4 linked regions of the Schizosaccharomyces pombe genome follow. The gene in region 4 interacts genetically with the main gene of each other region. Each region holds a gene or a part of one and is shown on either strand. Other genes may lie near its edges. The genes, in order: mkh1, cdc25, wis1 and win1.

What was found.
Region 1: of win1 (region 4) and mkh1, changing one enhances a phenotype caused by changing the other (phenotypic enhancement), as found in Schizosaccharomyces pombe (one study listed by BioGRID).
Region 2: of win1 (region 4) and cdc25, changing one enhances a phenotype caused by changing the other (phenotypic enhancement), as found in Schizosaccharomyces pombe (one study listed by BioGRID).
Region 3: of win1 (region 4) and wis1, a mutation in one rescues a mutant of the other (synthetic rescue), as found in Schizosaccharomyces pombe (4 studies listed by BioGRID, with this or other methods).

Annotation. Positions count from the first base shown.
Region 1 is NC_003424.3:611,939-620,110, reverse strand, and holds mkh1 (MEK kinase (MEKK) Mkh1), read left to right. Parts: upstream 1-2,835; 5' UTR 2,836-3,262; coding exon 3,263-6,613; 3' UTR 6,614-6,742; downstream 6,743-8,172. Other genes in the region: sro7 (Lgl family protein), read right to left, coding at 1-1,640, 1,689-2,118, 2,166-2,267; exosome 3'-5' exoribonuclease subunit Rrp6, read right to left, coding at 6,834-8,172. UniProt on the Schizosaccharomyces pombe protein: May regulate cell morphology, cell wall integrity, salt resistance, cell cycle reentry from stationary-phase arrest, and filamentous growth in response to stress. Activates the MAP kinase kinase skh1/pek1 by phosphorylation.
Region 2 is NC_003424.3:476,768-483,886, forward strand, and holds cdc25 (protein tyrosine phosphatase (M phase inducer) Cdc25), read right to left. Parts: upstream 5,607-7,119; 5' UTR 5,519-5,606; exon of another isoform or gene 5,419-5,518; 5' UTR 4,774-5,418; coding exon 2,983-4,773; 3' UTR 2,461-2,982; downstream 1-2,460. Other genes in the region: DNA replication pre-initiation complex subunit Sld3, read right to left, coding at 1-1,839, 1,888-1,929; hxk1 (hexokinase 1), read right to left, coding at 6,680-7,119.
Region 3 is NC_003423.3:1,143,231-1,148,366, forward strand, and holds wis1 (MAP kinase kinase Wis1), read right to left. Parts: upstream 3,374-5,136; 5' UTR 2,555-3,373; coding exon 737-2,554; 3' UTR 501-736; downstream 1-500. Other genes in the region: ubiquitin hydrolase Uch2, read left to right, coding at 1-43. UniProt on the Schizosaccharomyces pombe protein: Dosage-dependent regulator of mitosis with serine/ threonine protein kinase activity. May play a role in the integration of nutritional sensing with the control over entry into mitosis. It may interact with cdc25, wee1 and win1. May activate sty1.
Region 4 is NC_003424.3:5,086,807-5,096,234, forward strand, and holds win1 (MAP kinase kinase kinase Win1), read left to right. Parts: upstream 1-3,009; 5' UTR 3,010-3,634; coding exon 3,635-7,945; 3' UTR 7,946-8,042; downstream 8,043-9,428. Other genes in the region: Spg1-binding protein Etd1, read left to right, coding at 1,283-2,192, 2,255-2,520; rpl3002 (60S ribosomal protein eL30), read right to left, coding at 8,405-8,495, 8,742-9,004. UniProt on the Schizosaccharomyces pombe protein: Involved in a signal transduction pathway that is activated by changes in the osmolarity of the extracellular environment. Activates the wis1 MAP kinase kinase by phosphorylation.

The sequences.
Region 1 (8,172 bases), 4.5 Mb from region 4:
GCTTTGTAATGAGGATCCAGTGGCTGTCGCGATCTGGCCATCTTGAGTTAAAGAGCATATTTTATAAATGTTCTTAATATCTAATTGTCGAGATGATTCAAAATAAGCAGAAAAGCGCCCTGAAGAGGAAGGGTCTATACGGAATAAAAGTGTCATCCCTCTATATGTTCCTGTGACTACGTAGATTGAGGAAGGGCTTCCTTTAGGGTTCATAACGACAAACTCGGCACTCGTAAGAAAATCGGGATCAGGTTTTCCTCTTCTCTCTAATCCAAGCTCCGAGATGCTGGTGTTACACAGTATATGGGGGCCACGCATGTCGATGATTGTAATTCCACCATCCTGATATCCTATACAAACAAAACCAATATTGCTCATTTGGTTCAATGTTACTCTTCCTCGTTTAAGATCAATATAATATTGAGCATGTAATGTTCCCTCTAGAACTAAGGTATCGTCCAAACGATATATTCCGTTAGCGAGCTGAGCTGGTAAATTTTCTTTATGATTTTTCCTTTTGCAAACAATGACACGCCCAAAACTATCAGCACAACTGAATTCTGGATTATAAGTGGAAAAAGAGGCAGTAGTTATAAAAGCTGAAGGCGTGAGATGCTTTCGCATTACAGAAGAGAAATCCAAATTTACGCAGAGAGATGGATTCATAAAACCCTGAGATATATCCCAAATCGATAAACTAAGACCAGTCGATGTTATAAGTAGATTACGCTCATCTAATTTCTTAAGATAGCCGGGACTAGGAGATCCGCCAAAAAGACAGGAGTAATGTGAATTAACGGAAATAGTATCTTCAATTTGATTCCAAACTTTTTTTGTTACAGTTTGAAATGCTATAACTCGAAAATCTGAAGCAAGGAAGCATAAAGAGGGGGGAATAGAAAGGCTCATGTTTGAAATATTTCCAGTAGAAATGTCGAGCAGCGATAACGAGTTGTCTTCCGAAAGAAGGAGAAGATTCTTGGGATTATGAGATCCATTGTAATGTGGTGAGCTAGAAGGAATCACCAGCATATCACGTACAGGGGGGATGTCAATAAAAGGAAAAAAGCGTTGTGAGTTTGGATTTGCGAAAAATTCCGCAAATGTTTCAACATCCTTTTTGGCAGGGAGATTTCGATAACTGAACAATGAAATTCCCTTTACCGGTGCTTCTTTCGGCAAACCACCTAACATCAAAATAAATGAAACTGTTGGGTCTTCACAACAACACCACCTCATAGACCTAATGGGCTCAAGCTCCGTCTTAGGAGGATTTCTCTGCATGGGGGTATACGTGTGTATGTTTGAATCGACAAAATTTCGGACTTGTACAGGATATTCTTGATCCACATCCCAGAATGCAAAAGTCGAATCAGTATAGTAACTAACAAAGTGATCACCCCAAGGACTCCACTCTATCCCTTTGACTATAGGTCTTCGATAATTATGGGGTGATAAAACTGCAGCTGTACTACCTGGTGCATACTCCAATTCATAAAAGCGTATAACTTCGTCAGTCCTTATTGAGTACAAAACAACGCCATCCGGATATGCAATCAAAATCACACCGAGATCCTTCGGGTGAATCTGAACGCTTACAACTGGGGATAGCTTTCCAGGAACTGGTGCATAAGAGTAGCCTGAAAATTAGTAATAAATTCAAATAAACAACAATGACCTCAACGTACCCATCATTCGCCATTCCTCGTGTCTTGGGACATACAAATTTGGAACTTTGAATTTTCCAAGGCAATGTCTAGTAACATCCCATGGCACAACGGAGCCATCACTCATTCCAAAAAAAACCCAATCAATAGTAGGATCCGTTACGGTACATGTAACTTTTTGCTTGAGAAAGTAAGTGGCAGCTGGTTTTGAAAGGTCACGATGTTTCATCAAGGGATAGCTTAAGACCGTATTTCGAGAGTCAATTACAATCAAATACGCCGCACAAAGGGCTATATGGACAATGGTTGAACAGTCTGGAACTATCACACTCTGGACATGCTGTTTACCGTAAATGTATATCCGATTAGTACTAGATACAATAGCTAGTAAGCCTTGTTGATGGTCTAAACACCATAATACTGGATTTAAGGAAAACCCAAATCGATTCAACTAATCTTTGTTATTAAACATTCAACAAGCATTGCTTCCCTACTTACGTCGTCTATCGATAGTGAAGCATTTGAAGACGTATGGGTCTTCAAATTGGATTTGGATAAAATTTCTTTTCCCTTACTTAGCTTTTTTTTAAAAAAGCTCATATTTTCCCAATTCTTGGTATAAATATACTAATCATGTTATACCCTCGTAGCATATACAAACTCACGCTCAACTCGTGTTAGAGAACGCTATTTTTGGATAACGTCTTGTGCCGTTAAACCAATAATAATGTAAGCTACGCAGTTTGGTATCTGATTTAAGGATACGTAAACTGCGGTGAGTTTTCCTTGTAACCTATTATATTACAATAAACAGGTTGTATGAGTAGCAACTGAGTATTGTATTAACTGTGTTATAATGTTACCTATCACTAATATAGCTCATAACTGAACTGAGGAACGAGGTTCAGTTGTAACGCTATTTATAATATTTCTAAATAGTTGTTATCAACTGGTAACTAGTATATAGATGGATAGTTACCCGTGATTATCAATAAACGGATCTTAGCTAGTATTCCAACATATGACATATAGTGATACACAACGTAGTGTATCATAGCGTAATGTAGTATTGCTGACAAATAATGAGACTTCTAATTTTATCCTTATAGCACTGAATTCGACTTTGCATCATTCACTAGTCAAACCGCAAGCGATTTTGAGCGGGCCTAAAGCCAGACACCAAGCTGGAGATTGCTTGGTTTACCCGTGAAGGTTTATAGAATCGAAATATCAGTTTTACATTGATAAAGTATCTATTTTTAATTCTCTATTATTTTCTAACAGGCTTCTGTGGAATTGGCGGTATCATACGGGCTGCATGTCAAAACACATGGGAAGTCTTTTTGCAATATCTTTAAACCCTGAGTACTAGTGATTCAACATTTCTCTCCTTTCTTAATATTTTATTTACCTGCAAGAAATTGGGCTATTACTAACATCCCAAGTCTGTCTTTTGCAAATTAGTTCACTCGTTTCAGCCGAATCTTAATTTTTTTAATCATAAACTACTTAAGCAGCAATCTCCAATTCGTTTGACAAAAAAAAGGTTTTTTATCTTGAATTCTTTTCAAAGTAACTAATACTGTTCTGGGTATATGGCTGCCGATATCGGATCGCAGTCATCAGGCTCTTTGGAAGAACGGTTTGAACAGTCTCTTCATCTTCAGAATGTCGATAAGCAAGATTGGTCACTTAACAGTGTACTTCAGTTTTTAAAACTATACAAATTTAACAAAGAATGGGAAGACGTTTTTATTAAAAGTCGAATCGAAATGGATTTATTTATCAATTTGGCCGATCAATCAAAAGCCGAGGAATTCGCCTTTAAAAATAAATTGAGCAAGGAGTCTGCCATCCAATTGAGTAGCTGTATTCGCAAAACACTTTTAGCACCTTCTTCGACTCGCGTACCTAGCAAAAACTCGTCTTACGAAACATTAACTTACAGCGCCAAAGATAGTTCGGATGACGTTTTTACAGAAACTAACTCTGGTTTCCGCTCTTCAAATCAAAATTCGTCCCTCAAAAGCTTTCAGAGTGTTCCTGATAGCAATGTGAACGTGTTTGGTGGCTTCGGTGGATCAGTAGTCGACAACAATGAGCTATTGAGCACAGGAAAAAACTCCCATCAAACAACCTCTTTAAATTTGGAAGGCTCTCCTATAAACTTACACGCTTACAAAGGAACTGTCACTTCAATAATTAACGATGACAGCAGAAACATTAATAAAAAAACATTGTCGAAACAACCTGTATCCGAACATAAAGAAAAACAAACTAGCTTTCTCCGTCGTTTCCGGGTACCTGGGTTTTCTCGTGACAAGGATAAAACTAAAGATTGCCCTTCTTCAAATTCGAACCCATTCCATTTAGCTTCTTCAAATGTGAAAACATTAGACGCGTCTTTGGATCAAGGTGAGTGGGTACCTCGTATTCATCGTTTAGAAAGTCAAATTGGTTTAATATCCAAAAAGAAGTCATTTGTTCTTGCTACTATGGATGATATGAAATTCACAGTAGTGGATATTACCAACGTCCAAAATGCTACTCAGCTACGTAAGCTAATAGCTAAGAGTATGTATTTAGACATTTCAATTGACCAGTTTGATTTGTTTCTCACGGAAGTCGGCGGGGCTCAATACATAGAAATATTAGATGATAGAAAGCTTGATATTGCAAGGCTTTATTCTGATGAATTTGGAACTATTAAATTTTTCGTAAAGCCATCACAAAATGAAGAATCGGGTATGGATAGTGATACTTATTTATCTTTTGGCACAAAATCAAGTTCAACTTATAAAGCTGATGATGACTCAATATATCATCGCAAGGAAGATTTTAAAAAGCAACCAAGTTACCCTGTGCTTACTTCGGATTTTGAAATTACTGATGCAGGACCTAATTTATCATTATCAGGGCATCAACCTGATAATAAATACTACAAAGGTTTTAGTTCGGCACCGAATTTGGCAGTTGTTCCAGAATTACCATCTCGACGTTTTCGAGGGTTTGAAAAAATCCGTGGTGCTAAAGGAGAAATGGCTACAAAAATTTTGGATGCCACTGAAGCCCAAAGTGAAAAAAACAAATTTACCGTTTGTAGACCTCACAAGAAGGTCACATTGAAAATGCCACTTAATTCCGGCTCTTCCGCTCCCCAAAGTCCTTCATCTAATACTTCTGCTTCTGTTTTAACTAGAAATTTTGTGGCACATAGAGATCCTCCACCCCCACCCACAGAGACATCTAGTTTACGTCGAAAAAATACATTGACTCGTAGACCAAGTATTCGTCACGCTCGGTCCTCTCCTTACATTGATACCGGACATAACGAAGCTAGCAAATTTTCACATACGTCTTTTGACCCCAAAGCATCTAGTAAATCTTCTAATTCATTAAAGGAAAGTGTGGAAGCTTTATCAGAAATACCTTTTGAAGATGCGCCTGCACTAGACGAATCGGATCTTTCTGGGGATCCCTTTTGGGCTATACAGCCCAAACAATCTTCCTCCCAAGTACCTAAAGAAAATCATCACAACATTCAATCCAAACTTTCCATTAACACAGAGGCTGCTACGGATTTGAAAGCAAATGAACTATCTTCGCCTAAAACTCCTGAATACTGTAGAGGTGATGACAGATCCATTAGTTTATCACCGTTATCTTATCGTTTAAGAAAGTCCAAACATATTCGTGAATCCCCACCGTCTTCAAAGGTTATCAATTCTGGTAACTGGGAAGTTCGTCCATCTGCTGATGATCTTTATGAGGATGTTGATCGATTTTTTCCCCGTTATGATTTGGATAAAGTACTTGTAGTGGACCAAAGCCGCATGGTTTCTTCCCCTTCAAAGGTATCGATACGTCCGAAAATGAAGTCTGTACGATTATTAGCCCGCGAAGCATCTGAAGCTCGGAAAGAAATACGACATAACGCGAGACGCAATAAATCTGGAAATCTTCTACGTCGATCAAGTACGAAACTTTGGGGCTCTAGGATTGTAGAACTAAAACCAGATACTACTATAACTTCTGGATCAGTTGTTTCACAAAATGCCACGTTCAAATGGATGAAAGGAGAATTGATTGGAAATGGTACTTATGGTAAGGTATTTTTGGCTATGAACATTAATACGGGTGAATTGATTGCAGTAAAGCAAGTTGAAATACCACAAACTATTAATGGCCGTCATGACCAATTACGCAAAGATATCGTGGATTCCATTAATGCAGAAATTTCTATGATTGCCGATTTGGATCACTTAAATATAGTGCAATATCTGGGTTTCGAAAAGACGGAAACGGATATAAGTATATTCCTGGAATATGTTTCAGGTGGTTCAATTGGTCGATGTTTGCGGAATTATGGTCCTTTCGAAGAGCAACTGGTCCGTTTTGTATCACGCCAGGTGCTCTACGGGTTGTCTTACTTACATTCTAAAGGTATTATACATCGAGATTTAAAGGCTGACAATTTGCTCATTGATTTTGATGGAGTTTGCAAAATTTCAGACTTTGGAATATCTAAGCATAGTGATAATGTGTATGACAATGACGCAAACCTGTCCATGCAAGGATCCATCTTTTGGATGGCACCTGAAGTAATTCATAATGATCATCAAGGATATAGTGCTAAGGTCGACGTCTGGTCCTTGGGATGTGTAGTGTTGGAAATGTTAGCTGGTCGTAGACCGTGGTCTACAGATGAGGCTATCCAAGCTATGTTCAAGTTAGGTACCGAGAAAAAGGCGCCTCCTATTCCTAGTGAATTGGTGTCTCAGGTATCACCCGAAGCGATTCAATTTTTGAATGCATGCTTTACTGTGAATGCTGATGTAAGGCCAACCGCAGAGGAATTATTAAATCACCCGTTTATGAAATGTGACGAAGAATTCAACTTTAAGGACACGAATCTTTACGACATGCTTTGTAAAAGAAAGAGCTAAATTGGTCGCAATTATTATTTATTACTTAGCGTTTCCTCGCAGGGGCATGCATTCTCAATTTCTTCTTATAGCTATTTATTTAATATTGAAATTAATTTTGAAAATTATTACATTATTATACAAACAAACATACATGATCATTTTCAATTTCTACAATGTATTTAAAAGTAAATTTTCATTTTGTCAAAATTGTTTCGTTTATTTAAAATTAAAACTGATATTAATAAGATGTACTCTTCCCGTCTGAAACCTTCCTTTTTTTGAGTTCCCTAGTATTTCGCTTTGGTAAACTTACCTTGTTAAGAGGATTAAAACCCCGTTTCCCAAATTTATTTTTTCCTACATCAGAGTCTAAGTCAGCAATAAAATTCTTTTGATTTTTATAATCAAAAGGTGCTTCATTGATAATTGGACTGTCATTAGAAACATGTTCGGCTTCAATAGTAAGTTTTCCGCTGTTCTTCTTTTTCTTCTTTTGCTTCCGTTTTTTTGACACTGAAGTTGAAGCTTCCGAAGGTTCAATATCTTCATTTCGCTCCTCTATGGGGTTTGAGGGTTCTTTATGATTAAGCTTAGAAGAATCCCTTTTTTGCTTGTTCAGCCCTAAATCCCTAATGACTATAGGCTCTTGTTTCTTCTCTCCATTCAGACTCGGGTTTGCAGCTTCAGTTACAGTGGACTGCTTTACATTCAATTCGGATTCAACATGCCCTTGAGTACAAGGAAGAGTTAATGAAAAAGGAATATTCTGGTTCACTATAAAGAGTCTCTCTTTACGAGCTTTCCGTAAATCATCTTGCGACTGTCCCTCAATCCAAAACGCAGATCCATTTGCCAGCAAAGTCTTTAGTTTACTTCTATTTTGTTTAGAAATCTCGAAAACACTGGAGTCAACTTTGTAATCACCCAAAGTATTCGATTCGGAAAAAACTGCTAGCGGTTGATTTTGCTTCTCAACTTCTTTAAATTGGGATTTCTCACGATCTACTTGCTCATTATACAACTTTTCGGCTTCTTGAACGACTTTAACGATATCTTCAACATACATGCGAGCAATTGGTGTCAATTGCTTAGAAATTGAAAACACATCAGCCGCTTCAACCGGTTTACTGGCGGCAATCGCAATAAGTAAACGATTTGGCAACACATAGCGAACACTTTCATCTTCTTTTCGGGCTACGGAATCTCTCCAATCGTGCAGTGCTCGATAAATCATCAAAGCTTCCCGTCCAATTATTTTAGAAGAGCCAAACTTAGTAAGTACATTTCTCCAGCCATCAGTACCAAGTCCATAAATAGGATCATAAGGCTCAAGTTCATACTTTCTAAGAGATATTTGTTTACTGGAATTGAACACTGATTGCATAAGATTTTCTTTTCTTTCAGCTGATTTTGATATGAGTTCATTTCGTAAATGATCCCAAATATATAACAAATAATGCGTATCAGATTGAGCATATTTTAACATTTCCCGAGGCAAAGGACGGATTCTCCAATCAGCCATTTGGTATCTTTTATCTGCATCATAATCACAATACTTTTGTAACAGAAAAGCCAGA
Region 2 (7,119 bases), 4.6 Mb from region 4:
CGAAGGTTCTGAGCGCTTAGATACAGATCCCTCGAGAATGCTAAGTGTTTTTGACCGAGAAAGAGAAGAAGTTGTTTTCGGCTGTACACTTTCCTCACTTTGTCCTTGTAAGCTTGCCATGGTAAGTTTCTCAGTAAACGATAAGTTTCTTCGTGGAAAATTTGTAGAAATATCATGCATTGAGTTTCTTTGTTTTGACAAAGACGAAGAAGGAAGGTTTATTTCACGGTTCTTGATGCGAGCTATATCGGAAGACCTTCTTCTAGTGTCCCTCTCAAAACCATTGAATGAAGAATCTGACCGAGTCAAAGAATGAACCCCAGAATTGCTTCTTCGACGTTTAAGAATTTCATAATCCTTAGAGATAGAGGCCTCCGAATGAGGACTAGAAGTATTGGATATACTGGCACCAGAAGTATTTCCAGGTAAAGCGCGACCGGCTTCTGATTTGCTACTAATCAATTTTGAACGAGGAGGAGCGCTATGTCTATGCTTATGAGAGCGTTCTGGTAATAAATCTAAACCGTTACATTTCTCTAAAAGGTTGCGCGTAATTCGAGGGAATTTAGAGGAGTAATATGGGACTATTGTCTCCTTACAAAACTTCAATAAGAGATCCTCAGATCGTTCGGTAGCATTTTGTTCTATAGTCCTTCGTATGCAAAGCCCATCAAATGTAAATTCCAATTTTAATTGAGCAGTTTCAAAAGGATTAAGCGTTTTTGCGTTTTTTTTCCGAGATTTTCGTTTACCACTATCGCGAGAATCCAACAAACTGTTATCATTAGCCCGACGCCTTGCGTACTCAGGATCCCATTTTAAAAAAAGGTATAGAATCTCAAAGTATAAAAGTACACGAATTTCATACTCCTTCAATTTCAGTTGGGAAAACTCCCTCTCAAAGTCAAGTTTTGTAATTTGACAATTTTCTCGATTTAATATGTTTTGAAGCCAGAGGCGATAGCCTTTAATCTCATACTGATGGGCTTCATTTTCGAATTCCAAATGCCAAGCCTTATAGTTTAAATGTGATTCAAAACATTGAAGTAATCGGGATTTACGGTCATCGACAGATTTAAGATTATCTAAAAATTTTAACAGTTCATCAACTAGAGCTTTTTCTTCTACATGATTGTGTACTTCAACTGCTAGTTGTCGAGTTTTTCCAACCATTTGCTTTACATAAAAAACAACAGGTGTTTTGGTCATCAATAGTTGATAAAAGTAGGAATTGTAAAGATGGTCCAACAAAGATTTAACGTCACGTGAACAGCTAGGAGTATAATCTTGAACCATTTCAGTAACGGAATCATTTGCAAATTCATGCGTAAGGGAATTGCCATCTTTTGAAGACGAAATAAGATCATGCGTAACGAATGAATGCGGAGCTTGGCTTTCGCGTTCGTTTGCTTGAGAAGCATCTGATTGAATTCTGTGAAGTTCCTTTTTTAACAAACTAGGTGACATTAAAGAGTTCGAACGGAACAATTGATCTCCTAAAGGTTTGTTTGAGACGTTGGACAAGCTTTTAGAGGATTTCGTTAATTGATGATTTGCTATCACCTTCAAAGACTTAAAATCCAATTTTTCTGAAAGAAAAATCAAGGCATAACGGCTCCCTTCCACATGTTCAATTCCAACAAGTTGATTAGCTTTCGAACTTTTTACACGTCCGAGTAAAACACTAGTGCCAGCTGGCCTTATAACTATGAATTGTAGTGATGAGCAAGTAAACTCGTGATATTCCTTTGAAATGCACCATCGCAGGCAAATACACTGCCTTGGTACAGTAACTAAGGGCCAGACTTCAAGATATGATTTTTCCCAATTTGAAGGAGCCTAAAAGATGTCAACAACTAATCTTTACTATTTTTAAAATGTAAGTACCTTTATACAAAATGATTTCTTGGAAGCATGGTCGTTATTCATAAAGATACCAAAATCTTTAAATTAGTGTACCTAAAAAGATTTGTTTGTTTGAACATTAAGTGCTCTGCAAACTTTCATACTTAAACAATTCGTTATTTATGATTACGAGGTTTATCCTACAATGTATTAAATACAATCGTTGGCGTTCAAAGCTGCACTTCATAGGGCGTTGATGTCATAATCAATAAAATTCATATAAGCGAATTTAAGGTTGACTTAGATGACGACATTCTGATTGTTGCAAATAAAAAGTAAACAAAACAAAATCTACAAATATCTTCAAATTTTAAAAAAGCACACATATGATTCACTTTCTCAACGGAACATGTTTAAATTTTTACCAAAAAAGTAGTATTGATTAAAAATTTTCGTAATTTTTTTTTTGGGAAGGTACTTAAGTGTGAATGTCCAACTTCCGCATTGTAACTATTTTATATCACATAAAACTTCGTAACTCTCTGGTGAACTTAACCTTCCATTGGAAAGGGTAAGCTACAATACTACCGCTTACAGAACATGCATAAAAGGAAGTGATTTAAAAATAAAAGTTTTATTCGTTTTCTACTTAAATATTTCCATCAGAGATGGTTAGGTAGAGTTACAAAAACGTAAGCAACTCAGTTCCTATCGCATTACTGCTTCAATCAAAGAATGCTAAATTCTTAGCATTCCTATCAACAGCAATTGCGAGAAGAGCAATTAGAATGGACTTCGGTACGTATGTTTACCCGTGATTGCTTAGAAATTATTAAGCTCAATTGATTATAAAATAATCAATTATTAAACCAAAATCCATGCGTAATAATAATAACCAAACTAGTCGTTCTAGATATTTAGTCGTAAAAGTGATGTACTTCGAAAAGTTTAGCCAGTTTAAATTTTTTGTTGTCGAGACCTTTTAAAAGGTATATTGCTTTCTTTCAATAATAATAATAAAAAATAGAAATAAAAGGTTTCATGATTCAAAGTTTATAGAAAAAACTTAGGTTTAGAAAGTTGAATATATAAGAGTATACTTCAGGCTAGGTAAAGTATTGAGTCAGCCTAAAATCATTAAAATCTTCTAAGTGTAGAGAGGGAATGCATGGCAGTAGGAGAATCATTAACGTCTGGGGAAGCTAACACACTTTGGCCAAAAGTATAACTTTTAGTACGCATAAAAGTAGCGTTTCGTTTGAAATTATTCATAGCCTTGGTGCAGGTCATAACATGCGAAGCATCGTTCATCGGAACGTAGTTAATTGGGTCACAACGGTTTTTGTGGTTTTCGTAAAACGACTTGTAACCACCATGAAGTATATAAACCTCGGGATAGTAAAGGAAAGGATAACGATGACTATTCATTCGTCTGTCGGTATTTCGAAAGTGCAATGCCAAATGAGGTGCTCTGTGCGCACTATGTTCACAATGAAAAACAAGTGCAACCCGATGAGTAAGAGGTTTACTTAAAAAGGCATCCACAATAGCTTGTTTCGTATTTAAATTCACAGCAGTGCTAATATGGCCCCCAAGGTATTCATATTCAAAACGGCAATCAATAATGATGCATTTGTCAAAAATATCCTTAAATTTACCATCTAATAGACCGAGCAATGTTTCTTGGGTAATTCGTTTCAATGAGTCCTCCTTCACGGCGAAGCAAGGAAGAGATAAATCCTCGACATGAGAAGAGATGAAGCGCTCACTTTCTTTGGTCGATTGTTTTGGCGTAACGCACACAAGATCTTGGCTTTTGAAAAGCCCTAGTCTTGTGGAATTGAGAAACATGCTTTGGGTACGACGAAGCACTGGTGTATCTTGCTCATCATATTCCGCATCTTCTTGCATAGCGAATGCCATCGGAGAAGGGGACCTAACTTTCAAGCTAGGAAAGGCAATATCTTTATTTATCTTGGGTAACATATCAATAGGTTTAATGGGTGAAGCTTGAAAAAGATCATCTAAAGAATTATCATTGCAAGCACCAAAATCACTGTTGGGACGTTGAATAGAGGCAGCGTCTTCAACAAGTTCAACAGAGCTTTCTGGTAAATCAGCAACCTTGCCCATCGTAAATGTATCCTCATGATCAGACATTAATTCGAAATCATCCGTATCATCAGTAAGACAACTTTCAAGTAAGCTGGTCGTGTTGCTCGACTGACTACAGGTACGGGATAAGGCATAAGTCAAATGGCGGGTAGCTTGTCCACCAGAAGTTCCCTTCTTTTTGTTAATGGAATATGAGGAACTCGATCTGGATCGCAAAAATGGGGGTGCGTTGCCTGATGATCGAGAACGTGAGACGTTAGGACGAAGGTAGGAATCAAAAGAAGAACTCGATAATGACGAACGAGTAGCTTCGCTTTTGGTGGTGTTTAATGCGATTGATGCTTTAGGCTTAAAGCTGTAAGCAATAGTGCTGGAAACACGTGGGGAATCTTGGGTAATGGAATACTTCGATGCAGGTTGCCGGAAGAAGTAGGACTCGGTTAAAGCGTCATTCGAGGGTGACTCCGGGAGAGGTGAAACAATAGTCTTGTTAGCGAGAGGGGTTTCTACAGTACAAGAAAGAGATCGAAAGAGCGTACGACGAGGAGTCGGTAAGGCAGGGCTTTCATCGATATGCATGTTCATTGACATATCAGCAGCTAAGGAAGATGCAGGTGAAGCTGTCGAACAAGTTTTTCCAAAAGGATCCACTAATGTTGAGGCAATGTGTTTGGATTTCGGGAAGAAAAAATCCAGCTCTTGATTTGCATTGCGATCCGACATCAACTTTAATTCACGGGCAGCAGGACGCAATACATTCCGTTTGCCAGATAGAGTGTTGGTAAAGGAAAGTGAAGAAAGCGGAGAATCCATTTTAGTTGAGGTTTAACTATTATTAAAAGCAGACAAAATGGTAAATTTAATTTAAACCAAGTACACTGCAAAAAGAACTAATGGGACGACACGACTGCAAAAGATTGAGTTTCAGAATGAGAAATCAATAGAGCAAGTAAGATAAATTATAAAGGAAAATCCTAGGGAAGAGTCAAAAGACCGGTTTAAGATATTAATGCCAAAGTGAGACAAAAAGAAAACTAAAAGAAAGACAGGATGAAAGCAATATAGCCAAATATTAAACAAAACCAACCTTTACAAAAGAAACCGGAAAGAAGTTTAAGTAAGTTTAGACTCCACACGACGGGAAGACCGAATAAAAGTATATAAAAAAAAAGAGATTAATGAGACAAAAATAGATGAGCACCAACGGTCACGACTATAATATAGAATATAAAAGATACTGTCGTTGAAAGAAAAAATGAAAGAAAAAAGAAAGTTAAAAGAAAGCAGTTGATTAATATGAAAACAACAGAATACCCAAAAGTTCAGACTCAAAGTTCGTTACAAGTAATAAACCCCCCACTTTACCATATAAAGGCTTCTTGAACAAATAACTTCAAGAATCCTATTAATTGCCTTAAAAAGCGTAAGCAATTGTATTATAGACGTTTCAAAAAATCACTGAACCAGCAGTTAGTACTTGAGAAGCATCAACAGGAATCCAACTTGAGGAGAGAAGGATGCCCGAAACTAACAGGCATCAAGTTCTTTTTAAACTTACAACTTTGGTATTCTTAAGAATAATATTTTCAATGTAATACACTTGATCTAAAGGAGAAGAGCTTGAAGCGCTGTAGATAGTTGAGGGTAGAGAGAAATCTCAGCTCTGCCTCCGAGAGGAAAAAAAAGCAAAGGTAACAACAACAATAAAACACCAACCAACAAATTCGAGTAACAGAAAACAATAATAAAAACAAATACATGATTAAAGCAAAGTTAAACTGTAAGCTGTAATACTTAGCCAACACCTCAGCCATGACAACTATTGTTGTATAGTTTAGTTGCGTAGATAATGCCGTTTCAAGCTACAATATGTCACCTCTTAATCTATTAATTATATAAAAGCAAATAATCATTTCATTAACAACATTGAACTAGATGAAAACACATAAATTTTTGCATCTTGTATGTTTGTTTACATGTCCATACATCTCAGCTATTCGATCCACCGCAGTTTGTCTGATTTGTTGCCCTAGCAACGCCAAATGTTGTGTATGTGTAAACAAATACATAAGAACAAACGTCAGGTAACCTGCTTGACAGCCATTAAATCCCCATAATCTCATACCCGCACTCCTGATATGTAACACGAGCAGCGAGATAAAATATGTTATCAGGTGTTAGCGAATAATCGTAACACGATGAATCTCTCTACTTCGGGACTCGGACTGTCATTCCGAATTGGAAAACGAGGGTGTAACTCATTGAAAGTCTCCCGATGTTATGTAGCTATGGGTTGATACCATTATTGTCGTAGTAGGCATATTTCGCAAGATAGTATAGCCAGTTGTCTTGTTAAACTCGGATATCTTCAACAAAGATACCGCTATTATTACACTTCAACATACAAAATATAACAAAACTCTAACCTTTATTTAAAGTATTCTAGCAATCAGAGGCAGATATCGTATCCACAGAAACACTAGAGCAAAAAAGAAAATATTTTATCAGGTGGAGCACCTTTTTGTAAAAACGCCCTGATACGTGATTAGTAGACAAAGAAAAGTGTAACCATAAAAATTGCTGGAACAAATTGTACGCAAAAAGATGGAGTATGAAACAAATAAAAAGTGCAGTATAAAACAGTTTGTCGAACACTTCGTGGAGTTCAGTGACACAAAATCAAATGAGTATCCGTAAAACCTAAAAACAATGAGTGGACTTAATTCTTAAGATGCTCGGCAAGAATATCAGAAGTGAGGGCCTTGCCTTTGGCTTCAAGAGCACTGACCAATGCAGCACCTACGCCACTACCGTCTTCGGCGGGGATGGTAACAACTTTGCTGCCAATTTCCTCACCAAGGATATCCTTAAATGCTTGAGCAAGACGATCCTTAAAACGAGGGTATAAGTTGTAGACACTACCATCAGTACCTACAATCATAGATGGCTTATTCATTTTACGAACAAGGGCGCATACACCACACGCAGAAAGACGGGCAGAACGAGTTCCAATCAATTCGCATGCACGACGAATGAATTGACGCTCTTCTTCGGTGGTCTTGAGACCATAGGTTTCCTCAAATAGGGTTTGAGTTTCATCAAGGTTCTCAAAGGGGTCAACTTCAATAGCGCTGAGCACAGAGGTATCCATGGCCAAGG
Region 3 (5,136 bases), on a different chromosome or scaffold from region 4:
TGAAACTGCAAAAGCGAAATACGCATCTCAAAAGCGACCGTAATATATTACGGCGTTCTTTCTCAAAAAATATTCCACTATGAAGGAATTTTCATTTCCAGGATAAAAATCTGTTATGACTCTAGATTACCTTGTTGGACTTATGTTGGGAGAATTTGTTTCTTTGATATATAAAAGTCTCGTACTTTTTAAATAAATGAATACCTCAAATCTCTTTGAGTAATATATTAATAGTTTAAGTAATTATTATTAGGTCGATATAATATCTATTAACACTTGCATTTACGATGGATTCAATCTCTCTAAGTAATCACCATTGTAGGAAACAGGAGATCATAGTAGCTAAAACGACGGAGCCAGTCAACGAAGTTTTAAAAGAAATAAATTAATACAGTACAAGTAACTTTTACAATTGCAAACTTTCGTTTGCACTTCTAAAGCCCCTTAGTTAAATAAAAAAAAAGTTTTTTATGGTGGACGTAAATGCCTTAAACAAATGTAATAACACATTAAATACCCGTTTTAATTTAAAGCAAAAATGCAAACATCAACTACCGTTATACGGAATCATACCCAAATTATTAAATTTATGAAAAAGCACAAATGCAAAATAGCGTCGGTTCTGCTGAAACATAATTATGGATCACGTAATAGTCATGCATTCGAAATTAAAGACAAACACCAATGCGCATGGGTACTTTAAAACAGAGCAGGCAATTAGAAAGCAGGCGAACCTTTAGCTTCTTTTTTCACCTTTCTCTTTAAGAGCGCCTTTTGCCCATGAAGCCATGTCCACATCTGCATTTTGATATTTTAACAACCATGGATGGTTAGCCAACTCATGATAATCGGGACGCAAAGACGGGTTTTTATTCAAACACTTGTTTACAAAATCACGAGCTTCGGGAGAAAATGAATCGGGGAGAGAAGGTGGATCGCCATCGCAAATCGCCGATAGTTGTGCAAATATTGAAGTATATGATTCAGGTGGATACGGATAAGCTCCTAAAGCCATTTCTAAAATGGTAAGGCCTAGAGACCACACATCAGCCTGTACGGTGTAAGTCAAGACGCCATTGGTAGGTCCACCAACACGAATTCTTTCAGGAGCCATGTAAGATTGACATCCAATGTTCGTTTTGGATATAGAAGCCACAAGATTCCCACTCACGCCAAAGTCACATAACTTAACCTGGCCATTAGAATTTACCAAAACATTAGTAGGTTTAACGTCACGATGAATGATATTATGCTCCTCTTTCAAAGTTTTGAGGCCTTGCACTACAGCATAAGCAGTTCTAGCTAAAACTCCTTCGTCTTTGATACCACCAGCATACAGTTTGTCCATGCTACCAGCATCCATATATTCCATACAAATAAAAACAGAACCTTCCACAAAAAAGGCACCATAAAAGTCAACGATATAAGGACTAACTGCTTTATGTAAAATATCCAATTCCATTATAATTTGATTAAATGTTGCTTCTTCTAAGGACAACCTAATTTCCTTCAAGGCCATAGTGACACCAGTCGGTTGATGCAATGCTTTATACACAACACCATAGTTACCTTTTCCAAGTTCTTCAAGCTTAATAATCTCTGACATATTAATACGAAACGAAGAGCCAGATGAAAAGTTAACACCTTCTGAATTTAACACGGCTTTGTTTTTAAAATTTAAGGTGCCTGATTTTGCATCCAAAATATCCGAAAATGTGGAAAAAGGGGTTTCCGAAACAGCCTGTTTAAGGGTGGGAGGAATGTTTAGGCCACGGCGAGAAGCCATGCTAGACGGACTGACAGGGCTGGTGGGATTGGAATTGGATAAATCGAGTTTTCCAGGTGGTGCACGACGGATTCTCGTTTGTCGATTGAAGGACGTTGGACGGTTGAGTAAAGGATTCCTAGCAGCAGCAAGTGATTTTGCAAGCCCGGACTCTGGCATATTCGGAGACTTTACGGGCGAATTACTTAATCGACCAGCAAGTTGAGAGTTAGGCAAAGGATAACTTCCTCGTTGACCCATACCGACAATAGGGGTAGTTGGACTACTGATCTTGTTGACTACTTCCGGCATTGATTTTGATCTAGATGCATGGAAGGCCTTCAATTTCTCCTGTATATCAGTTGAAAGTCCTCCAGGAAATGGGCCCGGTGGAGTAGGAGGAGATCCAATATTGTTCTGACCAGCTGCTGTAGGAAGTGAACGTCTAGGTTTTTCCGAAGGATCCTTCATGTCAAGGTTAAGAGAGTTACGACTCCGACTGGACGTAGATCTGCCAAGTCTGACCGTAGGCACGGCACGGGGAAGAGGGGGATCGGAAGGTATTTCACGACTAGGAGAAGAAACCTTTGAGTCATTGTCACTGCCACTACTGTTAGAATTTAAAGACAAGGAACCCAAGGAAGAACCAGAAGAATCGGTGTTTGAAGAACTTGAAGACGAAAGAGAAAGGAGCGAGCCGGGAGTACCAACATCACCGGGAGGTGCGGTAGGAGAAATAGACAGCTGTCTCAATGAGCAAGACAAGGGTTGATTATTTGGAGAAGACATATAAAATAAATGTGCTTCACAAACTTAAAAAAAAAGAAAAAAAAATTAGGTAAACTAAATTCCGGTAATATAAATGAAGCAAAAGTGAAGATGAACGAAAGTGAGATGGCAATACAAAAAAGGTATCTTGGGTGAAAAGAACAATTAAAATTAGACAATCAATTACGAGTCGTCTCCGACGAAGAAGGAAAAAAAAAGCGGTGGTCTAAAAAGTCCGCAGGAAGGATATTCCAAGAAAAAAAAAGGAAGTTTAAAGGCAATCACCTACGAGTAGCTTTGTGTAGGTAAATGCCACGGAAAAAAAGGAGGTTTGGAAGGGTTTAAATTTAACAGCAAAAGCCAGAAACTGGAAGAAACAGGGGCTTAGATAATAAATTTCCCAAGGAGAACTAAAGAAAAAAAAGTAAAAAGGTGTGGGTTAATCTTAGTCCGAGAAGTCAATACTTTAAAACCGAGTTATGACCGACGAGTAAGGAGGCAAAGGTAAGGAGAAAAAGTAATAATTCACAAACACGAAATAAAAAGGAAAGAAATTTGAAATTATCTTTCTAAAAGATAACACGTAAGGGTGTGGAAGGAAGAGAAAAAATTCAGAAACGCTTTTCTCTTACAGTAAAGAGCAAAAAAAATTCTGCTCTTTAAAGGAAATGGGAAAATTTAGGGAGGGTGATAAAATAGGAAGTGTAGTCGGTACGATGTAAATAAGATATACACGTCGAAAGGGAATGCTTGAGAGATTAGGAATCCCAGCTATCGCCAGCCGGCTGGGGTATGTTTGGGTATACAAGAAGGTGGAATGGGATGGAGTTGGTGAAGGATAAAAGGATAACGAAAGTCAGACAACACGTTGCTTAATCTTAAGGAGAAACTTTTGCACGTTAGCTTACGTATCAGTATATAAGGATAACGTGGATAAAAAAATGTTTCATCAAAACAAGGGATGGTTAAGGGATACAATCAAATTTGTAAAATCAAAATAACGTGAAGCCAAATAATATGCTGCAGATCTCCGTATAAGCGTAACGACCTGTATGAATCATTCGACAAGATTTCTAACAAGGTATCCTGAGATTTATATGCAAATGGAAAGAATGTACGGCAGAAATAGCTGGTAAGAAATACCTCGATGGATTAATGGGAAAGCACAGGATGATTGGGTAAAATGCTCAACGTATAGAGAATAATACATAGAAGTAAAGAAAAACAGAAAAAAAAAGGGCCGAAAAATATTTTAATGGAAGATAAACACAACGATTTATCGGTCTTGACAGAAGGAATTGAATTGTCCGATAGATATGGTAGTGTTTGATTAGAAAAGAATAAAGAATAAATAAATAAAAACAAAAATAATTAATGATTAGGTGCATAGGGCTTTAAGTTTCAAAGCTGGTATTCGAATGTCAATGTATACTAAGAAAAATCATGATCCAAGGTAAAATGTATAACCAAATAAATAAGAGAAATATAACTAACCTAGTAGCTTCCGTCCTTGAGAGCGATAAAAAAAAGCGAGTTAACGCACAAGTGTTTCGAAAAGGTGTAGTAATGTATAATAAAACATTTTTTAATAATCGTTAAAAGGTTCAGCAAGTGGAATGAAGAGAGTGTGTTATTTGTGCTCTAGAAGCAGCGTAAAAAAAAATTTATTTATTTTTAAATTTTTTTTTTTTTTCTAATTTTTTTAAATTTCTTTTGTTTAAGGAAACACACAAAAATAATGTAAGAGTAGCAGCAAAACTGCTAGGAACATTTTGTTCTATGGAAAAAGACACTGAAGTGAAAAGTGCAACGAAGGGGTAGAACTTTCGTAGGAAGGAAAAACAAGCAAAGAGAAAAAAATTTACAAAAGTTCCTAGATCACTCCATCTATATGCAAATGCATAATGTACGGTGTATGCTCGAACAAAGTAGAAAGGGGGCTATAAAAACGATTTGAGGATAATCCTTTATTAATGAGAAAAAATTTGGAACGTCTAGTTTTGCGCCAACATCAAGGGAAGACAAAAAAAATTTTCATTAAAACAGACTCAATAATGTTCAATTGAGATAGAAGAATACAGAAAGAGTCGAATGATTGAACATGTGGTGAAAAAGGCTGAAGATGAAACTAGATAGAAAGAGGCTGTATTCCCAACATCCAAAAATGAGGAAAAACTAAAGAAGAGAAGGAAAGTGGAATAAAATGAAGAAATTAAAAGAGAAAATCATACGATGAAACTGAGAAGAAGAAGAAGGCATTTTATTTTAATTTTATTAATTTTATTAGATTTCATTTCGTTTGACGCTTTACGGTTTCATGAAATGCCAAATTGCTAATTCTTTATTAGATTTTGGAGTATTTTCATTGTTAGTCTGCGAGTATTTTCATTATTAGTTTGTATTTAAAAAGTTTCATCGTATGTTTCTATAGATGCGTTTTTTTTTACATTATTTGAATTGAATGAAGAATTGATTTGCTATAAGAGAAATTTTTGACTTGGTATGGTTGCTGGCTGGCACCCACGGCTGCGTATGCCACATACCATACAATAGTAGACTAAGACGACTGTACATACGAATGGTAGTTGTTTTTTGGGGAAAGG
Region 4 (9,428 bases):
AACCCGGCAAACCTCCCGCAACTTAATTTATCTGCTTTTCTTTGCCCATGTTTTTAATGCTTCTTTTATCTGTGCCGGTTGATAGCTGCTCACCATATGGTTTTTTGTGAGTCGTGTTAGTGTTTGCTGAGAAAGGATTTTTTTTTTCGGCTACGCTGTTTATTCATTAGGTCACAAAATAAAAGGCTGGATTTGGTTGATTTACATATATTTACTCTTCTTTTGAGCCTCGTGTAGCTGTTCTGTGATTACTTTTATAAATGTGTTGTAGTTTGGTTAGAAGGTTTGTCGTTTTTTTGTTTTTTGGTAAAACTAAATGAGTGAATAGAGGATGTCAATCTGTATTTTGGATTGAACTTTTATTTACTGCGTATACCTTTGTGGAATTAATTTTTTTGCTCAGAGCTAACGTATTTGTGTTAACCGTAACTGTCCAGTCGTACTTTTGTAAGGAATTAGGAAGTTCCTTTTGCTAAAAGTTAAATGGTCTGTAGTAATAAACAATTCTGCTAGGTAAAAGTTATTATTAATCATTGATCCATTAACCTATTATATTCGCTATGTTTATATTAACTGTGAGATTAAAGGTTGCATCACTTTACGCTCTCAAAAACGTAGCTTTAAACTGCAAACATTATTTGACTAGTTTTAAAGAGTTTGACTTTTAAGTCAATGTAATGAAAGAAAAGAAGAAAACAATGTTTTCCCTGCATCAACAGAGTTAGTTGAAGAGTTTATCGTAAGCAAGTAAAGAAAGTTGAAAGGCGTATAGCAACTTTTGATGCTAACATTGTGCTCATGAACGAGCAGTGGCTTTGAATCTTTGTAGAGTCATTCATCTTTTCAGTTTTTGGCTAACTTATTTATTTTAAGTTGAACATTTTTAATGAATAAAACTTGTAATAGACAGTCTTTTCCATTTCCTAGTCTATCTCTGCTAGCATTCCATCTTTACAAAGCCCTATTTAACGTAACCACGATTAACGCGTTATAAAGTATTTATCAGAATTATATAGCGCTTAAACAACATAACGAATTGCGTTCTTTGATGTTATAGAACTTTGTATTTCCTTATAAATCATTTACAGATTCATGTTCAAAATTCGTTATGTCGTTCTCATGACGACCGTTTGTTTACTAACAAAAGCGTGGTCTTGACGAAAGTGCCTTCTACCATTATTTACACACTTGAATGGGTTGACGCGTACAGTCTTTTCTCTACGGCAATAATTCTTTCTTTAATTTAGCTTAAGAGAAATATAGATTTACGAGTATTTCGTCAATGGGAGTTGTATACGGCAGTCAACAAAATTTAAGTGAATATTTCTATTCTTCTGTCAATATGGCAGAGGTTCCAGATACTTTCGAAGAGAATAGGGGTCATTCTTTTGAAGGTGTGACTCTACAACGAAGGCATGTGAAAGGCATGAAAAGTTATGGTTCAGATATTACACCGAGGCGCCCTAAACAGCTTGGATTACCGAAAGAAGTTAACACCTCCGAATGCATAGATCAAGGCTCATGGAGGAAACCCTCAGCATTTGAAAGCTTAAGAAGTTACTCCCGAAAATTTTCTAAACGAATTTTTTCATTCATAGGAGTTGAGTCAAAAAGTACTGTACAACGCAACGCTTCAGGTGCAGACAGTACGTCGTTGTCTCACTTTACGGCGAATGAGATAAACAAAGGCAACTGTAAAAAAACTGCGTTAAGTAATGAATTTAATTCGGCCAATAAAGGGAGCAAGGCTAGTGGTGTAGGTGCTGAACTACCTTCAGTTAATGGATTTATTGAAGGTGAGCTTCATGATGATAATGAGACAGATTCCTTTCGGATAAATGAATTAGCTAAGCAAATCCAAGAAACTTCTTTGGGTGCGACTACGCAAGAAGATGAGAGTTCGGATGGTATTTGCTGGGACGAGTTATCGACTACTTCGCCAGAGTCGTCGAAAGTGTCGGAACCTATCATTCAAGACAATACGCAAACGACTCATATAAATAACGATTCATCGGATATTCGATTTTCATCTCGTTGCGATTTATTTGCGGACGATGCGGATTCAGATTGGGAGCAGGACTTTAATGTGAAATTCGATAGTCCATTGATAATTCCCGAAACGGTAAACAGTGCAGGACACACCGTTCGAGAACAGCTTTTTGAGGTGAAGGAATTTACGAGATCCATCAAAGGTAAGACATTCATGTGTTGTAATGCTTTAGTTTTAACCGCTGCTAACTAAAAACACAAATAGACTTAAAAGATCTTTACGAAAAGGCAAATTCCAAAGATATTTACGACAAGGACTCAGAGATTTTAGGAGAGGCTAAGGCTATTCTACGGTTAGCGGATCCTGCAAATTATTCTGATTTAAAGGATGAGGACGCGCAAAACATTTTATCAAAATATAAAGTTAAGTTGGAAGGGGATTCTTCATTAGATTTCGATGCGTCCATGCTACCAGGGCTAAACGATCATGTGCATTATTTAATGTCCCAACTCCAACTATTATTACACTGAGTTTCTCTTTTTGGCTATTTAATCCATTAATGGAATGGGAAGTATCTATTTTGTTATCCAAAGTGTCAAAATTTCGCTTAGGATAATTTCAATAATTGTGAGAACAGTTTCGCATTGGTGGATAGCAAGTAAAGGTGAAACTGGCCATTACAACCTTTTTATACTTCTGCATCTTAAGAAGCTTTTGGTTTTATTGTAAATTTCTTTCGTTTTCTCTTTTTAATAAATCTATTTTGCAATAATATTTCGGAAAAAGTACTAGACAGATGTTTTGTCTTTTGTGAATATTAGTCCAACCTTTATTCTGTGATAAAAAGATTTTATTAAATTAAAGTAAAAGAATGTAAATCAAAAATACCTGAAAACCCATATCTATGATTTTGCTATTTAGTGAGAAATTCCTCATTGCACTGAAAATCCTTAAAACTAGTACCCCACTTCATACTATACTACGGGGTTAGACCACAATTAGTTGTTTATCCTTTGCACACCGCAAACCTATAAATTTTCTTTTTGTCAATTCCACATATTCTACAAGGAGGATTGACTTTTTAGTTCACTGATTATTGCTCTTTCAACAATTTATACGCGGTAGTTTTACTGCTCTTCGGCTCGTATAATTTTTTTACACAACACTTTTATCGATTTTTTAAGCCGAATTTCTACATTTAATATTTTATCATTTTTTTCTGCTCATTAATATTTACCGTATCTTTTCGAAAACCCATTGCTTTGGATGTGTGTGTGTGTCTCTCTCTCTACGTTCCTCAATTTGACTGCATTACTTTAATATACTTACAACCTGAATTCTGTTCGGTTGGTAATTCCTGCAATCGTTATTTGTCTTTGTCAACTTCGGATTTTTTATTTTTACATATAACAGTAGTTGCATTGACTTCGCTGCACAATTCCTTACACTGAGTTGGCATTCCTTGCATCTGTAAACCACTTTTTCATTACCCACTCCCATTTTTGACTTCAGTAAACAATTATTCTACTACTACTTGCCACTATTCCAAACTTATCTGTTTCCCGTTTTGGGTTTAAATTTGGGTATAACGGTCTTTTTTATACATAACTTCTGAAGCAATTCGAAATTTGTTCCTCAACAAACATGGAAAATATTTTGGATCCTTCTGTGGTCAATTCACATATACTAGAAAATGGCTCAAGGCGATCTTCTATCAATCCAATTCTTGATAGTGAATTGCGTGATAAAACATTTGAAAAGGCTCATCGTCGCTCTTTGACTTTACTTTCAAGTTTTACCTCGTCTATGCTTGAACTTCCTAACAACGGAAAAGAAGAAAATCACAGAAGGCCATCTGTTGCGCGTAGCTCAAGTGATAGATCCAAGGCGAGCGCCAAAGAGGACTTATTTTCAGAAGCTTTCAGAATGGCTGAACAGCCTCCAGCCGAGGCCCTTACTATTTCTACCCCTGTTGACCCAATCAATATTGATGAATTAGATCGTGCTTATGCCGTAAGTCCAAGCGATACTAGTAATCTACTACATCCTCCTACTTCTTCCTCTTCCATTCCTATACCAATTAAGAATGCTGGTCATTCAAACCTCGATCATCCTATCCGACCTAGTCTGCAAAGTAGTATTAGCTCAAATAGGATAATAAAGTCTCCCGGTATTAAGGAAGACGATTATATGCACAGAGGACGTTCTATTTCGTCGCCAATGATTGATGTTGAACACATAAATTCAACAGCAGTTCCAAGCAAAACTAAAAATTTGCCAGAAAAGCCCAAGCGTTCTCACAAACTAAGAAATTCTATAACATTTGCTAAAATTGAAGATCATCCTGAGAGGAAATCTCAATTAAGACGACTGAGTAGTTCGTTAAAGTGTTTTGACCCAGAATATGATTATAACGATCCTTCTCTAAGCATTCGTCGTGATAGTTCAACTTATTACTTTTCTAATGTTAATGAAACTTATGATGAGGAGGACTCGGATTTAGATTCTGAGACTTCAACTGTAAATTGGGTACAATCTGTTCTGAATCTCCCATCCTTACTTTCTGATGATTTAATGGCTAACCCAAAAAACAAAGAACGTTTTGAATGGCAATATATGTTGACTTCAGTTCTGACTGGTGATATAGTCCGATCTGAAAAATTACGGCTAAGAAAGATTGCTTCTTCTCGAGAAGGGCGAAATAGTGATTATTCTGATAATTTGTGGATGGAAATATGGTGTTGGCTTACTCATCGTTCCGTTGATTCTTATAGAGAAAATTTAAAACATCTTCGTACGGGTATGGTTGATGTGCTACTGGCCATTATGAATTTTCATTGGGATGAGAGCAACGAATTAACCCCTATTGTTGCTGTCGATAACATGCTGCAAAAACTTGATAAATATGAACGTTTATATCCTTCACGTCGTTCTATCCTTCAGGAACATTCATTATATGCTTCAGAATCTTTTCAGCACAAGTTGGATGTCTTGACGGCTTATTCTAATGTCACTCATGCGCTAGAAATTCAAGTTAACATTATTCGCTCGTGGGTTGGTAATGAGGAAATGGACATTACCAAAAATACTACAAATTCTATTAATAACGTTTCTCAAATTTCAAACGGACCATTTGTGGAGCGCTTTTATAGAGAAACCGGTTTGATTCGAGCTTTTGAGCAAAGAATCATGACTAATATGAATAGCGTATTAAGCAAAGTTTGTAATACGATTGTTACATATGCGGATGATTTAAAAAGTTATGGCTTGCCGCTTATTGCTGATGATTACATGCGTCTTCTTTCTTTTCCGTTTAGGTTAATCAAAGAGTTCCTAAATCTTCGCTTATCATGTGCAGAAAATATTACCTCAATTTCTTTATTTACGATTGACTCTTTACTAGATGACCTTCGGAACACTATGAAAGTTGCCGTCCATATCATTCAACAACACACTGTTCTAATCAAACCTTTTCGTGATGATAGCAAATTTGTTGATGAAAACCAGTCCTTAAACAATATTTTAGTTGCCTCATTGAAATTTTACTTCAATTTATTACATCGTAAGGTTCGCAATGGCTGTGCCTTGCTGCATTTCAAAGAAACCGAAATTTTAGAAGGAGAATGGGATTTTCTGCTCGCTGTTTGTCCCCACATCGAACACGGATTCCAAATTATGTCTAAAAGTCTTTCTTCGCTGGTTGGTGAAATATTGACCAATATCAATAGGTATCTAAAAGATCAGCTGCAGGGGCCCGATACCGATGACTCTGCATTGATCACCTCATTTTATATCAAGGTGCTTGACTGTGTTAGAATTCGCTTCCGAAAATTGATGAGTTTTACTCGTATACTAAAAGCGCATTTGGAAAATTCTTGCGAGTACGTTATTAAAGAGAATTCATTATCCCTTTTAATACAACGCCTTGAAGAATCAAATCACGTTTTGACATATACGGCGAGTATCGAACATGAAGGAGCATACGTAATTGTTCCAGGACACCTAGTTGATTCCCCTAATATACTTCGTGAGGTACTTTCAATGACTTTTAATAAAGGAGATAATAATTTTGAAAGTGTACCTCCATATGCGGTTGTATTGGCTCCAGACAGCTCAATATGTTGGAACGGCCATGTTACAGATCTTGATATTCCGGAAGTGTCAATTTCCATTGCTCCTAACTGTGTCCGTTTAGTAACGTTAGCGACAGCTAATCAACTCTCTGTTATCGAAGATTATTTTATTAGTATAGTTGGTGACACAGTCTCACTTGTTGATTCTGCGAAAGCAAATTCATCCAAAATCAACAAACAAATGACCAAAATTAAACGAAATTCTTTGAAGTTGGCTTTGTCATTGCTTGATGTGATACAAACAATTCGTACAAGGTACCATGGCATGAATTGCCAAAATCTAATTCATTATTCTTTTTCTTACGCCATTGAATTTGCACAACGATTAATGAGGCTTTCGATCCTAGACGCATCTAGCATTGGGCTGATTCGTCGCAAAATGATACAGCTGGCGATCAGTTGGGTTGGATTCATCTATGAGGATTGTTCTCCTACCGATAGAAATACGTTTCGTTGGACTGTTACGGCTTTAGAATTCGCAATGATTATGACATACGGTTCGAACATTTTAATGATTGATAAAAAATCATTTGAAGAACTCAAAGAAAAGGTTGGAAAATGTGTGGCATTATTACTTTTGCACTTTGATGTTATGGGTACTAAACATGCTGGTCGTAGTATGGACCAACAAGCTGGAGATATACCAGCTCGCCTTGTTCGAAATAATTCCGACCGAAGTCGTTTATCGGATAATGAGTTGGCTTCCTTTGTCAAGGAGGAGGTTATGCATCGGATAATTGAACTAGAAAGTAATAGAAGGGACCGACTTTATAAGTCCCAGCTCATTGGACGTGTTTTGGATGATACGACAAAGGAGAACAGGCTATTGAAAGAGCTAGCCTCTTCGAAATCTAATATCACGATTCGATGGCAACAGGGTGGACTTATAGGTAGCGGTTCTTTCGGTACGGTTTATCGTGCTGTTAACTTGGATACAGGAGATTTAATGGCTGTTAAAGAAGTGGCATTGCATAAACCTCGTATATCTAGACCGATGATCAAGAGGATTAAAGGTGAAATGTTAGTACTTGAACTCTTTGATCATCCTAATGTCGTATCGTATTATGGTATCGAAGTGCATCGTGAAAAAGTTAATATATTTATGGAACTTTGTCAAGGCTCTTCGCTTTTCGAATTTCTACGTTACGGTAGAATTGAGGACGAATTGGTAATTCAAGTTTATGTCCTACAATTATTAGAAGGATTGGCTTACATACACTCCTGTGGTGTTTCACATCAAGATGTAAAGCCTGAGAATATCCTTTTTGATCACAACGGGATCATGAAATTTACAGATTTTGGTTCTGCCAAGATGTCGGGTTCTGCTTCAACTAAAATTTTTGAACAGTTAACACAACAAGAAGAGGAAGAGTTTGAAAAAGACTCGGAATTTTTGCAGCATCTAGACCAAAATCGCGGTTACTCCTTGACAGGAACACCTACGTATATGGCGCCAGAATTAATTCTTGGTAATCCGTCCGAAAGGGTTGGTGCTATGGATATTTGGTCACTTGGATGTGTTATTGTTGAAATGGCTACGGGTTCCCCACCTTGGCCTAGATTAGATAATCATTTTTCTTTGATGTATCACATTGCTGCACATAATCCTCCTATTATTCCTGCAGATGATCAGCTTTCGCCTTTGGGTCAAAATTTCCTCAAACGTTGTTTTGTTTCTGATCCCAATCAGCGCGCTACAGCTGCCGAATTATTAATGGATCCATGGGTGTATCCCTTACGGGCTGGTACGGAATTCGATCTTATGAACTCATCCGTAGTCGAATCAGCGCCTTCTACCAATGGTGCTCCGTTGGAACTTTAGATGTTTGCTATGTTTTACACCTTATGACTATTTTTTGGATACGGTTTTAATTTAATACTTAATTAATAGAGACGAGAAATATTATAAAGTCCTAAACACTTTGTAAGTTTTGTATTCGTAGCAATCTATGCGGTATTCATTAAATGAATCGTTATTGAATTAGTTGAGTGTAAAAGTGACTTTATCATAGAATCATTTTTACTACGGCGCTAGGAAGAGACGTTAATTAAATTACCTTGCTACAACAATCAAACGTAAATACAATGCATATATTGATGAGTTTCATTGTTACGCTAATATACAAGATAGATCAGCCTAATGCTGAATTTTTTACATTTGTTTAGATATGTCAAGCTAAAGAGTTCCTGGATTCTACCAGAAACTTGGAAATCCAATAAAAATAATCCGATTTATTTTATCTGCCATAACATTGATTTTAAAAATTTTAATAAGTTTTACCTAAGCAGCAAGAATGTCGGAATCGCCAGCATCAATAACTGCTAATACACCGACGCGAAATAATTTACCACATGCAGTTCCTAAATCAATACTTGAAAACAGTTAGTAAAACAAAATTCGACTCCCAATTAAGATCTCTGTCGAAATCAAAAAGGCTTCAAAAAGCTAGCCATTAAACAGTGTTTCTCAACATCAATTGCTATATTTTTCTTTCAAAGAAATGATGGTCATAAAATTAGCATAGTTTAAATGTAATGGTTTAAAAGTAAAAATAATTTCAAAACGCTTCTAAGTCAAAGTCGATGTTGAGGAAAACCCTTACAAGCTAGTTACTTACTTGTTTCCACTGTAGTGGTGTACAGAGCAGCGAGAAAGCATCGCATAGTATTCCAACTCGGATTTACGTAGAGGAGGGGCATTTGCGGCAATGAGGATCAATTTAGCTTTACCAGAACGAAGGGTTTTTAAAGTCGATTTGTATCCCAAAACGTATTTCCCACTTTTCATAGTCAACGCCAACTTGGAATTAATAGTATCTCCCGACTTCTTTCCCTTTTTGGAAACAGCGGCAACGGGTGCAGTGGTAGGTGCAGCAGACATTTTAAAAAAAAAACAAGGAAATAAAGAGATAAAAGGCTTAGGGTTTTCTGCCGAAAGATAGAAGTTTGTAAAGTTGTTAACTAAATGAAATTCAAAGTAATGTTTTCCAAGAAAAACAGTCACATAAATCCAAACAACAAAACTTTTAGTTTCTGTGCATTGGTGCGTAGTTCGTTAGTGTGTGGTACAATTTGCTATAATAAAATGTAAACAAAAAATGTCAAGTAATAAAAAGCAAATTTCTCAAGGTAAAGAAATCATCACTTTTCATTTTTTGTTTTATTTTAATTATTTCCTCAATAGTAAAAGATTTGTATTTTACGATATCTCGCGGATCCAATGGCTCAATAAACTATAATGCAGTTATTTCTAGCCTTTGTCCCTCTAACGATAAATTGTTCTTTGCAGTCGATGCGCTTATCCT